Linked DNA regions of Saccharomyces cerevisiae S288C. The protein of the gene in region 1 binds, or shares a complex with, the protein of each later gene. Each region holds a gene or a part of one and is shown on either strand. Other genes may lie near its edges.

The links.
Region 2: VAR1 (region 1) and MRPS12 share a complex: the UniProt entries of both Saccharomyces cerevisiae proteins name them as parts of the mitochondrial small ribosomal subunit.
Region 3: VAR1 (region 1) and MRP21 share a complex: the UniProt entries of both Saccharomyces cerevisiae proteins name them as parts of the mitochondrial small ribosomal subunit.
Region 4: VAR1 (region 1) and QRI5 share a complex: the UniProt entries of both Saccharomyces cerevisiae proteins name them as parts of the mitochondrial small ribosomal subunit.

What each region holds. Positions count from the first base shown.
Region 1 is NC_001224.1:47,019-51,235, reverse strand, and holds VAR1 (mitochondrial 37S ribosomal protein VAR1), read right to left. Parts: upstream 2,336-4,217; coding exon 1,139-2,335; downstream 1-1,138. UniProt on the Saccharomyces cerevisiae protein: Component of the mitochondrial ribosome (mitoribosome), a dedicated translation machinery responsible for the synthesis of mitochondrial genome-encoded proteins, including at least some of the essential transmembrane subunits of the mitochondrial respiratory chain.
Region 2 is NC_001146.8:693,861-696,518, forward strand, and holds MRPS12 (mitochondrial 37S ribosomal protein uS12m MRPS12), read right to left. Parts: upstream 963-2,658; coding exon 501-962; downstream 1-500. Other genes in the region: ARC35 (Arc35p), read right to left, coding at 1-187; mitochondrial 37S ribosomal protein uS19m RSM19, read right to left, coding at 1,192-1,467; putative ATP-dependent RNA helicase DBP6, read left to right, coding at 1,735-2,658. UniProt on the Saccharomyces cerevisiae protein: Component of the mitochondrial ribosome (mitoribosome), a dedicated translation machinery responsible for the synthesis of mitochondrial genome-encoded proteins, including at least some of the essential transmembrane subunits of the mitochondrial respiratory chain.
Region 3 is NC_001134.8:46,539-50,227, reverse strand, and holds MRP21 (mitochondrial 37S ribosomal protein bS21m MRP21), read right to left. Parts: upstream 1,404-3,689; coding exon 870-1,403; downstream 1-869. Other genes in the region: AVT5 (amino acid transporter), read right to left, coding at 1-654; MAP2 (methionine aminopeptidase), read left to right, coding at 1,600-2,865; phospholipid metabolism-regulating protein SCS22, read left to right, coding at 3,048-3,081, 3,170-3,663. UniProt on the Saccharomyces cerevisiae protein: Component of the mitochondrial ribosome (mitoribosome), a dedicated translation machinery responsible for the synthesis of mitochondrial genome-encoded proteins, including at least some of the essential transmembrane subunits of the mitochondrial respiratory chain.
Region 4 is NC_001144.5:550,492-553,105, reverse strand, and holds QRI5 (mitochondrial 37S ribosomal protein mS38 QRI5), read right to left. Parts: upstream 837-2,614; coding exon 501-836; downstream 1-500. Other genes in the region: HMX1 (Hmx1p), read left to right, coding at 1-382; MSS51 (Mss51p), read left to right, coding at 1,146-2,456. UniProt on the Saccharomyces cerevisiae protein: Component of the mitochondrial ribosome (mitoribosome), a dedicated translation machinery responsible for the synthesis of mitochondrial genome-encoded proteins, including at least some of the essential transmembrane subunits of the mitochondrial respiratory chain.

The DNA.
Region 1 (4,217 bases):
TTTTTATTTATATTAAAATAAATAAATATATTCTTCGACTATTTATATTAATATTATTATTATTATTATTATTAAAATGAATATTTATAGTTATAGTTATAATTATAATTATAGTTATAGTTATAGTTATAGTTATATAATAGGTGTTAACCTCGCGAGAAGGAGGAGTTCCGGAACCCAGCATGGGGGCCAATTAATTATATAATAAATAATTAATATTATTTATTATAATTATTATTTATAAAAAAAAAAAAATAAGTTTTAAATATATAACTATAGAGAAAAATTATATAATAAATTTTCCTTTATTTAATAAAAAGATTATAATCTTTATATATATTAACCATATATATATTTTTTATATATTATTATTAAATTTATAATTAAATATTATATTTATAAAATTTAAATTAAAATTTAAAATAGTCCGGCCCGCCCCCGCGGGGGGGGGCGGACCCCGAAGGAGTGAGGGACCCCCTCCCTAACCTAATGGGAGGGGGACCGAACCCCGAAGGAGTTTGGTTAAAGAAGATAAAGAATAAAAATTAAGAATATTATTTTATTTATTTTTTTTAATATTATATATTAAAATATAATAGAAAAAAGAGTATTATATATTAATATAAAATATATTAATATAAATAACTAACCGCCCCCGCGGGGGCGGTTTATATAATTTAATAATTAATATATTAATAATAATTATAATAGTCCGGCCCGCCCCCTGCGGGGCGGACCCCGAAGGAGTAATATATATATATATTTTTATTTAATTAACTATCAATAATAATTATTTATAATAATAAAATATAAATAGGATCCAAAAGTAGGATTAATTTATAATTTTATTTGATATTTATTTTTAATTAAATTATTATTATAATAATTATATAAAAAAATTAATTAATTAATATTTTTAATATAAATAAATTATAATTTTATTTTTATATAATTATATGATATTATATTATATTTTATTTATATATAATTATATATATATAAAAAGTAAATATTATTTTATATATTTATATATATATATATATTATTTATTTATTTATTTTATTTATTATATTTATTTTATTTCTCCTTTCGGGGTTCCGGCTCCCGTGGCCGGGCCCCGGAACTATTAATATATATATTAAATAAAGTTTAATTTAACTTTAATATTATATTTACCATTTTTATTAATATTAGAATTATTATATAAATTATGATTAGAAGGGATATAATTTAATTTATAATTATTATTAATATTACTTCATAAATATTTTTTATTATTAAAAGTACCATTTAATAAATTAAGTGTACTAGTTCTACCATTATTATTACTTAATCTACCTTTAAATTTAATAGATCAACCAACTAAATATTTATATATTAAAATATCTATAGGAATATTATCAATAGTTATATTATTATAAATATTATTAATATTACCAATATAATTATTATTATTATTATTATAATTATTATTATTATTAATATTATTATTATTATTTAATAAATTAATTATATTATTATATTTATTATTATTAATATTATTAATATTATTAATATAATTTATAGAAATATTATGATCATTTAATTTAGGCATAATATTATTTAATATACGTTGATAATTAGTTAAGATACCATTATTATATTTATCTATATCATTTAAACTAATATATTTACTAAAAATATCACTATTTAAATAAATATATGATAATTTAATAGGTTCAATAGTTACTTTTTTTTTATAATAATAACTTAAAATATTACATAAATTATTATTTATATTATTATTTATAATATTTATTAATTTATTTATTATATTTATATAATAATTATTATTATTATTATTATTATTATTATTAATATCATTATTATAATAATAAAATTTAATATTTAATTTATTTAAACTATGTTGATTAATAAGTTTACTTATAATAATTTTATTAATATTTATATTATTTAATTTTAAAGTTATTATTTTATATAATAATTTATTAATTAATTTATCATTTATAGTATTTATAATTTCTATATTTTTATTATAATTATAAATTTGTAGATTTCAATTATTTATATTATTTAAATGTTGTAATTTATTATTAATATTCCCCGCGGGACCAATCCGGTGAACAACCGGATTGGCGCCCGCGGGGTTTATATTATTATTATTTAATATTCTTTTTATATTATTTATTTTTTTATTATTTATATCTAATAATATATTCTTTAATAATAATTTCTTATTTATTAATGAATCTAATAGATTATTAATAATAATATTATTATTATTATTAAGTTTATTTATTATTGATAAAATTATATTTAATAATTTTAATTTCATTATTTTTTATTTTTACTTTTTATCTATTATATATACATATTAATATTAATATTAATATAAATAGAAATATATATATATATATAATATGCATCCTTATTATAATATTATTTATTATTATAAATAATAATATATTAGATATTTTTTGCAGTTATTAATAACATTATATTCTTTATAATAATAATATAAATCCCAAATAAAAAAAAATAATTATTATTAATAATTTATATATAAATAATTTATAAAATAAAATATTATAATTTTATATATAAAAATAAAAATATTATTAAAATAAAATATATCATAATATTATTAAAATATATATATAAATATATAAATATATATATATATATATAAATATAAAGAATTATTAATTATTTATAATTTTTAATATATTATTATTAATTAATAAAATAAAATCCCTTCTTAAGAATAAAAAGGGTCGGACCGGACTATTATATAAATAATATTATTAAAATAATAATTATTATTATTATTATTTTTATATATTTTATATTTATTAAAATTAATTAATTAATTAATTATTATTATTTATTTATTTATTTTATTTTTATAGGAATAATATTAAAATTATTATTATATATATGTATTATTACGGATGATGTAGGATTTGAACCTACGTAGCCAATAAAGACTAATGATAGCTCAAATATCACACTTTAAACCACTCAGTCAACCATCCTTAAGAGGAATATAAATATAAATATAAATATTAATATAAATATAAATATTAAATAAACTCCTTTCGGGGTTCCGGCTCCCGTGGCCGGGCCCCGGAACTATAAATATATTATATATATATATTATAAAAATCTTTAATATAATATTATATAATTATTAATATAAGAACTTTTAAACTTTTATTAATTTATTTTCTCCTTCGGGGTTCGGTCCCCCTCCCTAACGGGAGGGGGTCCCTCACTCCTTTCTTAAAATAAATTATTATTAATAATTATTATATAATAAGAATTAATATAATTAATATAATTAATTTTATAAATTATAATATTAAAATAATTATTATTATTATTATATAATTAATCATATATTTTTAATTTATTATATTTATTAATATAATATAAATTATTATTTAATATTTAATATTTAAATAATATAAACCCCGCGGGACCAATCCGGTGAACAACCGGATTGGCGCCCGCGGGGAATATTAATAAATTAAATATTTAAATAATTATAATTAAATATTATTAATGTATATATAAATTTATATATTATATAGATAGATAGATAGATTTATAATATATTTTATTATATTGTTATAATATATTATAATTTATTTATAAACCTAATTATTATATTAATTATATGAAAATTATAAATTATATATATTTTATTAAATATTAATAGTTCCGGGGCCCGGCCACGGGAGCCGGAACCCCGAAAGGAGATGTTCACTAATATTATATTAATATTAATATTAATATTATTAAATGAATAATACAATAAAAATTATATTGTGTTCAATTAAATATATTTAATATATTTATATATAAAGAATTTATTATTTATTAATAAATATTATCATAATATATATATTTCTTATTTATTAATAAATATTTTTATTATTAATAAATAATATATCTTATTATGGTAATTTATATTTATTTATATAAATGTTTATTATAACAATATTTATAAATTATTATTATTAATAATATAAAAAAAGTAATTATATATTATCCATTATTTATTTATTTATATATTAATATATTAAAAAAAAGGTATATTATATATTATTATTATTTTTTATTATAATTTATATATATTATTATTATTATAATATTTATATATTTTATAATAATTATATAATTATAAGAATGTTATTAATTTAATCAAATGAGAT
Region 2 (2,658 bases), on another chromosome or scaffold:
AAGCTTTGGTCTTAACACTCAACAACAGAATGGACTTATCTTCTGCTGTGTTTGAAATGTGGTAGGTGGTATAGTCGAAATCGGAAACAATTCTGTCCATGGTCAACGGCGAACCCTTGCGAAGTGCCTCTATCGCTTCATTCAGTGTCTTTTGGATGAGAAGGTTTTGTGGTTGTAAGTGTAGCATTGCGGATTACCGTTTTGAGGCAAGAAGATTGCTAGTCTTGTATCTACACTAGTTCCTTTGAACGCTAGTTAGCCCCTATGCTTATAGTATTTCTTGTCAATACAAGCGTCTGAAAATTCAGATCGCTTTATACGAGTAAGTATGCCAAATACACCAAATATACCAAAGCATTGATTGCGTATACTGAGAATACATATATATATATATATATATATATATGTATGGTCATTGCTATTTACAAAAGGTTGTATGGAGTGGGAATATTAGAGAAAAGTAGTCGAGAGGCCAAAGAAAACTTAGAGCGTACTGCGCATCACGATTTACTTGGCTTCTTGGCTCCATATTTCGACCTCGAAGAAATCCTGTTTACCACACCACTCAGGTCACCAGCACCTCTGATAACATGGTACTTCACACCAGGCAAGTCCTGACAACGCCCACCTCTGACATATACAATCGAATGCTCTTGAGCATCGTGGCCCTCACCCGGTATATATGCAGATACCACGTTCCCGTTAGTCAAACGGACCCTGCACGCCTTTCTCTGCGCAGAATTCGGCTTCTTGGGCTTTAAAACCATTACACGTAATACGACACCCTTCCGCTGGGGACACTGATCCAGTTGTGGAGCTGTACTTATCTTCTTGCGTCTTGGAGGCCCGGAGCCTCTTTTAATCTGATTCAATGTCGCTTGCATTGTCGTAGTGGAGGAAAACAATCTCTGCGCCTGTCTCAAGGGCGTACACCATGTGTTGGACATAAACCTCGACAACATGGCTCTTGTTGGCCTGCTTCAATTCTGGTGTACCTGTAAGTTCTCCGTCTTTTCCCTGGTTATATGCGTTTTTTCTCCCCAAATCGTTTTGTCGCTCGGGTAAGACTGAAATGCTTTTAAAAGCACTATTACTGTTTATTATGCTATATATATATATATATACAGCCCGAGTCTGGCTTGATCTTATTTACATGATATATCATCTAGAAATCTATATACACTAGATCCCTCATTTGTTCTTGGTTTGAGTATAGCTGAAACGCTTCCTGGTAGGTGCGAACTCGCCCAGTTTGTGGCCCACCATATCTTCTGATATTTCAATAGGTACGTACTCCTTACCATTGTGTATTTGAAATTTCAGTCCCACGAACTGAGGAAGGATGGTGGCGGCCCTTGCGTTTGTTCTTATTGGAGTGCCCTTAGTCATGGCCTCCCTTATGGGTAATGGCACGATGTTGGGGCCCTTCCATACGGACCGCGATAAAAGTCTAGCTGCCGGTTGCATTTTATTTTTGGTGGACACTACTTCTGCCGATGCTGTACTGCTCTTGCAATGAACCTCACCGTTTTAAGTCATGGTTAGATTCTTACTAGGCGCTTCCAATTGCCATTTCTTGCTCAGCCATAACCGTGAATAGTGATCCAAACGCTAATGCCGGGTGATGCTTAAAATTTGAAAAATTATTGCAGATTTGTATTATATAGAAAGCATAACTGGCGATGAGATGTGCTCGAAACTGGACACCTTTACCATTGGTGACCGGTAGTGACAATGTTTGCATCGAGATTTGACCCTAGCCAATTGACTGCTCCTGCAGCTAGCGCACCAGAAGGAATCGTCGGAACTACTCCCCCGGCCATTGTGCCTTTAAAGAGGCAGGCTACTGAATCTGATAATGAAGAATATGGCTCTCACCAAGATTCTGATGAGAGTTCCAACTCTAGTTCAGAGGAAGACGAAGACCGTATGCAAGTAGATTATGGGGCTAGTGAAGAGGATTCGAGTGAAGTGGAAGAGGAAGAGAGTAAGCCAAGTACTCACAGCACAGTGCTATCGAGATTCAAGCAAACAGTATCATTGCAAGAAAGGCTAGGTGCATCTGATATTGCTGAGAGTAAGGAAGACGAAGGTATTGAAGACGAGGCGGCCTCAACTCACCAACTAAAACAGATTCCTCAACCTGAATTCGTCAAAAACCCAATGAATTTGAATACAAATTCATTACAGTTCAAATCTACGGGTTGGTTAAATACTGAGAAGATATATTATGATAATTCCTTGATCAAACCGTTCTCGGATTACGCAAATGAATTAGAAGCAAAACTACTGCAGAATATTTGCAAGAATTTCTCTACAAACACTTTTCCCATCCAATCGATCATCCTAGACTCCATATTACCGGTATTGAACTTCACGTTGAACGTATCTAAGAGAAACTTCACCAGAAGAATCGGTGATATTCTTGTAAATGCTGCTACCGGTTCAGGTAAAACTTTGGCTTACTCCATTCCTATTGTTCAAACCCTCTTCAAGAGACAAATTAACAGACTGCGTTGTATAATCATCGTCCCCACAAAACTATTGATAAACCAAGTTTATACTACGTTGACAAAGCTAACTCAAGGGACGTCGCTTATTGTGAGCATTGCCAAATTAGAAAATTCTTTGAAGGACGAACACAAAAAATTATCAAAT
Region 3 (3,689 bases), on another chromosome or scaffold:
ACAAGTGTAAGCAAACACAAAAATTGGCAATGTAGTCAGGGGAGAATGAGACTGAGAATCTCCGTGAGGTACCATAAAATATACTTGCCCTCTCTCTAGCTGATGCCGATTTACAAAATGGTAAATAATCAAACCAGATAAATATGCGACACTAACAATGGCAATCATAGAAGCATATCGTAGAGAATTCAAACTTCTTTTAAAGCATAAAGGGGAGATAACAAACACTATGATCAGAGTTATATACAAACGCCTGTCTAAGAACATGTGATGCTCTTGCGAACCACTCATGTTATCATCGTTACGATAAAAAATTGACTGCACTATCTGTGGCACTAAGTCACCAACAATAATTAAGTAAGATACACCAACGCCAAAACATTTAACAGCAATGGCAAAATCGAACACTACACTTATTGACGGATTGATTAGTTGGGTGAGTTTAGCAAACGAGGCGTTCTCAGATTTAGGTACGTACTTCGCTATTCGAGTCTGTAATAGCAGCCCACATAAGGAACATATTCCGCAAAATGTTAGCGTTATCAGACCAGGCATTAACCCAAATGGCTTGAATGCAAACGGCATTGCAAGTACGCCTGCTCCACATGCTGTATGGAGCAAAGTTAAGACTCCCGAACGTACGTTTGACGGCATATTGAGGAAGCTGCTTACTTTTCGTTTCCACTTTATCTTGCTGTTCGTTCGAGCAACAGTATTTATTTCCTTTTTTTGACGATGGAAATAATGGATAAGTGAAGTCATAGAATAAAAAATATACAAAAATTTAACTAAATAGTTACGCATTACCTATTTACAAAGACGGAAATCAATGGCGAAAATTTCACAATATTCAAGAGTTGATGGTACGATTAGTATCCTTTCCTCTTGGCATCTTTAACAATTTCAATCAACCTCTTGAAGCCCATCATGAATTCCTTCCTATGCCTTTGAGATCTCTTCAATTCAGCCACTTTCCCCGGCTTCATGTAAAACCGTTGACTTCTTTTATCTCCGGGAATATTGTTCTCAAACATGATCCTGTTTAATCTCTTAAATGATTCTGCAGGGTTGTTCTTATTCACGATTATAGATTTTCCAGAATTGAATCTCATTTGTGCATTCTCCACGCTACTTCTAGCAATTTCCGCCTCGGATAGAAGCTCCCTCTTGTTTATTCTCCCAGCAGATTGCATCATATCTACTGGAATTTCCATTGATAAAATATCTGCATTATCAGTTTTGCTTTTAGAGGTTTGGCCACGATCGCTGTTGCTTCCCTGAGCTAATTTGATTGGATTTAGTATGATTTTATCGATATCCGAATTTTGTTGGCGTAAACAGTCGATCGTTGTGAAACCTCTTCTGAGAGAGATTCTTGAAAGCCTCAGCGTGCTCTTCAACATTATGGTTATGCTCTTATGGGTGATATTTGACAGATTTTTTACTCTTCAAGGGACCTTTAATGACCTGGTCTCACTTATTTTTTATTTTCAATCTTGGGAAAGAAGCGAACTTAAAAAAGAAAGGAAGCCATAGCAAGAAGCTAATAAGTGGGCTTTTACATCAACAAGTACTGTAGAAGCTCTACCGTATTGAAAAATGACAGACGCTGAAATAGAAAATTCCCCTGCTTCTGATTTAAAAGAATTGAATTTGGAGAATGAAGGCGTTGAACAGCAAGACCAGGCAAAAGCTGACGAGTCAGACCCAGTAGAAAGCAAAAAGAAGAAGAACAAGAAAAAGAAGAAGAAGAAAAGCAATGTGAAGAAGATTGAATTACTGTTTCCAGATGGAAAGTACCCAGAAGGTGCGTGGATGGACTATCATCAAGATTTCAATCTGCAAAGAACCACGGATGAAGAATCACGTTATTTGAAAAGGGATCTGGAAAGGGCCGAACATTGGAATGATGTCAGAAAGGGTGCTGAGATACATCGTCGTGTGAGAAGGGCCATCAAGGACAGAATCGTTCCTGGGATGAAGTTAATGGATATCGCTGACATGATCGAAAATACTACAAGAAAGTATACAGGTGCCGAAAATTTATTAGCGATGGAGGATCCCAAATCTCAAGGTATTGGGTTTCCAACGGGTCTCTCTCTCAACCATTGTGCTGCACATTTCACACCCAATGCAGGCGACAAAACCGTTCTGAAATACGAAGACGTGATGAAGGTAGATTATGGTGTGCAGGTAAACGGTAACATCATTGATTCTGCCTTTACTGTTTCCTTTGATCCACAATACGATAACCTGCTAGCCGCTGTAAAGGACGCTACTTACACGGGTATTAAAGAAGCGGGTATCGATGTGAGATTAACCGACATCGGTGAAGCCATCCAAGAAGTTATGGAATCCTACGAAGTGGAAATCAATGGTGAGACTTACCAGGTTAAACCTTGTCGTAATCTATGTGGCCACAGTATCGCACCATATCGTATCCACGGCGGTAAATCCGTTCCCATCGTCAAAAATGGGGACACTACAAAAATGGAGGAAGGTGAGCACTTTGCCATTGAAACTTTTGGTTCTACTGGTAGAGGTTATGTTACTGCCGGTGGGGAAGTTTCTCATTATGCCAGATCTGCTGAAGACCATCAGGTAATGCCCACGTTAGACAGCGCCAAGAACTTGTTAAAAACGATAGACCGCAACTTTGGGACTTTACCGTTCTGTCGCCGATACCTAGACAGACTTGGCCAAGAGAAATACTTATTTGCGTTGAATAACTTGGTTAGACACGGTTTAGTACAGGATTATCCACCATTGAACGATATCCCCGGATCCTACACTGCACAATTCGAACACACCATCTTGTTGCATGCTCACAAAAAGGAAGTCGTTTCGAAAGGTGATGACTACTGAGGTAAAATGCGCTTTCAAATGGCCTCCTCACTAGGTATATGAATACTGTTGTAGTTATATAGATAGTTTAATATGGCTTGCCGCCCGTTTAGAATGATGCATTACCTTATATAAGACCTATGGGGGTCTCAAACAGTGGTATGACGACAGATAATATAAGCACTAGTTCAGACGAGTAAACAATGAGAATAGTGCCAGAAAAGCTGGTGTTCAAGGGTATGTTTGACGAGAATTGCTAGTGTGCGGGAAACTTTGCTACCTTTTTTGGTGCGATGCAACAGGTTACTAATATGTAATACTTCAGCTCCCCTTAATAAACAATCAACAGAGTATATAAAGCTCGAGAACGATGGTGAAAAGAGAGTTATATTTAAAGTGAGGACTAGTGCTCCCACAAAGTATTGTGTGAGGCCCAATGTGGCCATCATAGGTGCTCATGAAAGTGTAAATGTCCAAATTGTTTTCCTTGGATTACCCAAGTCAACCGCTGACGATGAAATGGACCAAAAACGAGACAAATTCTTGATCGTTACACTTCCTATCCCGGCAGCTTACCAAAACGTGGAGGATGGCGAGCTGTTGTCCGATTGGCCTAATCTGGAAGAGCAGTACAAAGATGACATAGTCTTCAAGAAGATCAAAATATTTCACTCCGTGTTACCGAAAAGAAAACCGTCTGGAAACCACGATGCAGAATCAGCAAGAGCGCCATCAGCAGGTAACGGGCAAAGTCTGAGTTCCAGAGCATTGCTTATCATCACCGTTATCGCATTGCTCGTCGGCTGGATATACTACTGAGTTTACAAAAGTTTATCACTAAAAGT
Region 4 (2,614 bases), on another chromosome or scaffold:
GGTCAAAAAGGGCACAAACTTCTTCACCTTCAGCGATCTGGGTCCCACTGAAGAAACACGCTTGAAATGGGAATACAAGAAGAACTATGAGCTGGCCACCAGGACGGAATTGACCGAAGCACAAAAGTTGCAGATCATTAGCGTCGCAGAAGGCATTTTTGATTGGAACTTCAACATCGTTGCAGAAATTGGAGAGTTGAATCGTCGCGAGTTAATGGGCAAGTTCAGCTTCAAGTGTATTACGTACTTGTACGAAGAATGGATGTTCAACAAGGATTCTGCTACTAGAAGAGCACTCCACACGGTCATGCTGCTGGTGCTTTCTATTATCGCGATCTGGGTTCTTTACTTCTTGGTAAAGAGTTTTCTTAGCATAGTATAACGTATAAAAAAAAAAGTCTAAATACAAACATAATATATACATGAAATAATATCAAAATATGAAGAATAGGGAAGGAAAAACAGCAGAGAAAAACATGTGAGAGGTTTTTACAGCCCTATTATCTACCCTGAGATAGCTTTCTTCTTTCTGCCTTCTCCCTCTTTCTTCTTTTCCGCAGTTTGTGTTTCTTCATCTTTTTTTTCCTCTTTCTCATCACTGAATCGAGTTGCATCACTATATTTGAACCGTTTAATGGCTCACTGACTGTGCCAGTGATCCTTGTTGCCGTAGCCGTCATCATCATCATTGTACTCAGCATGCCCTCTTGCATGGGAGGCATTGTAGTGTTAATTGCTGTTTGAAAGGTTCTGTTAAAGTAGGACCCGCAACTTGGTTTCTTAACCACCGTCCTAGTAATGCCCAGCCACCCAGGTCGCAATGCCCTTCCTAGCATGTTTATCTCGTTCTGGTGTCGTGTGTGCTCGTCTTGGCTGGAACTCAACCGCCTTTCGCTCTTGATATTATATTTGGCATTCACTTAAGTGTGCAGTATGGGGAAAGGGCTCTTTTTATCATGCGCTACGAAAAAGCGGCTCGAAGAAAATAATCCAAAGGAGTCTGACAAGAGACAATAGTAGATATTTGGTCAACTACTAAGGGCGGGCCTTTGGTTGTAGTTTTTTTACACTTTATAAGCGCAGAACACTGTAGATATTGCGAAGGTGGACTTAAAGTAGTTTGGCAAACTTGTACTTCCAGAACTATGACCGTGCTATATGCTCCTTCGGGTGCTACTCAGCTATATTTCCATCTGCTAAGGAAGTCGCCACACAACAGGCTAGTTGTCTCTCACCAAACACGTCGTCACCTCATGGGGTTCGTTAGGAACGCCCTTGGATTGGATCCTCCTCCCTCTCCAGAAGATCCTACTCCGGAGAACAGATTCCATCCATGGGATCAGTCTCCCTCAGTGGACTTGCGTGAAAGGGCCGCCAAGATTAGAACGCTAGCACACTGCCCTGTTACCGGCAAAGATATTAACTACACTTGTCCTCTGTCAGGAATTCCGACTCATCACTCACGAGAGGCTTGGGAGATGGATAAAGCATATCACGATTCTAAAAAATATGAAATCCTGAAAAAAGTTAATATTTATGAGCATGACTTAAGAAGCGGTAGACCCTTCCCGGAGTTTGATTTTCCCCAACAGCAAGGCTACGACAAGGCCGTTAACCTAACAAACTGGGATTTGTTTTTCTACACAAGATCATTCTATTCCATGGATACAGAGTTCCAATTAGCCGCAGTCACAAAGATGCTAAGCTATCCAATTACGATTGGGTCTTTGCTGCACAAATTTTCCCCGTATTCATTGAACCCAAAGGGGCCTATCACCTTAGAAGGTCTAAAATCTCTGGCTGCTCTCAGGTATACTTTATATCCGTTGGAGAATAGATCTTTACCAACCACAACTAAGAACCGTGCTATGAGAATTTTCATCCTAGGTGCACGTGCTGAAGCTCAATTGCCGGGCCACGTTTGGAAACAGCTCCAGTTTCTTTTCCCAGAGCAGAGTTTCGAAATACATTTCATTGGACCCGAATGCCTGTATAAAAGGGATAAACAGGAGTACGTCAAGTCTACTACGCCGGTAGTACAAAGAGTAGACGAGACTCTGAAATTCATTTATCGTACAAACTTTTTCGAAGTATTCCATGAGGCTCAAGATTTTTTCCCATACGATCCATACATGGATGTCTTTTTTACTTTCCATCCAGGCTACGCATCTCCAGAATCTCACGGTTCATGGATGGGTGAAACTATGAAGGCATTACTGGAAACAAAATGTGCTATCTTCACAACGGGTTTCAATAAGAAAGACCTAACGGACGACATAAATCTTGTCAAATCCAAATACGGTAAGGAAATGGATGTCTTAATGGAGCCCGTCAGAAACGTATTTGGAAGTACGAAGTGGGAATTAAATGACATGAATCCTCAAGAAGTTTATCAATTTAACATGTATATTGCCGGGTTCAGAGGTAAAAGGTACCATACAATCAAGAGACAATGATTATCGGGAGGCCATGCCCAACTTTCATCTTATAAATATATGCGTTTTCTACCGTTATTATAATTTTTTTCTTATGTATGATATCTCAATATCTGTAAATACAAAAATACTAACCCCACCCCCTTCGTAATGGTTGACCTAATAGTCCATTAACTAAT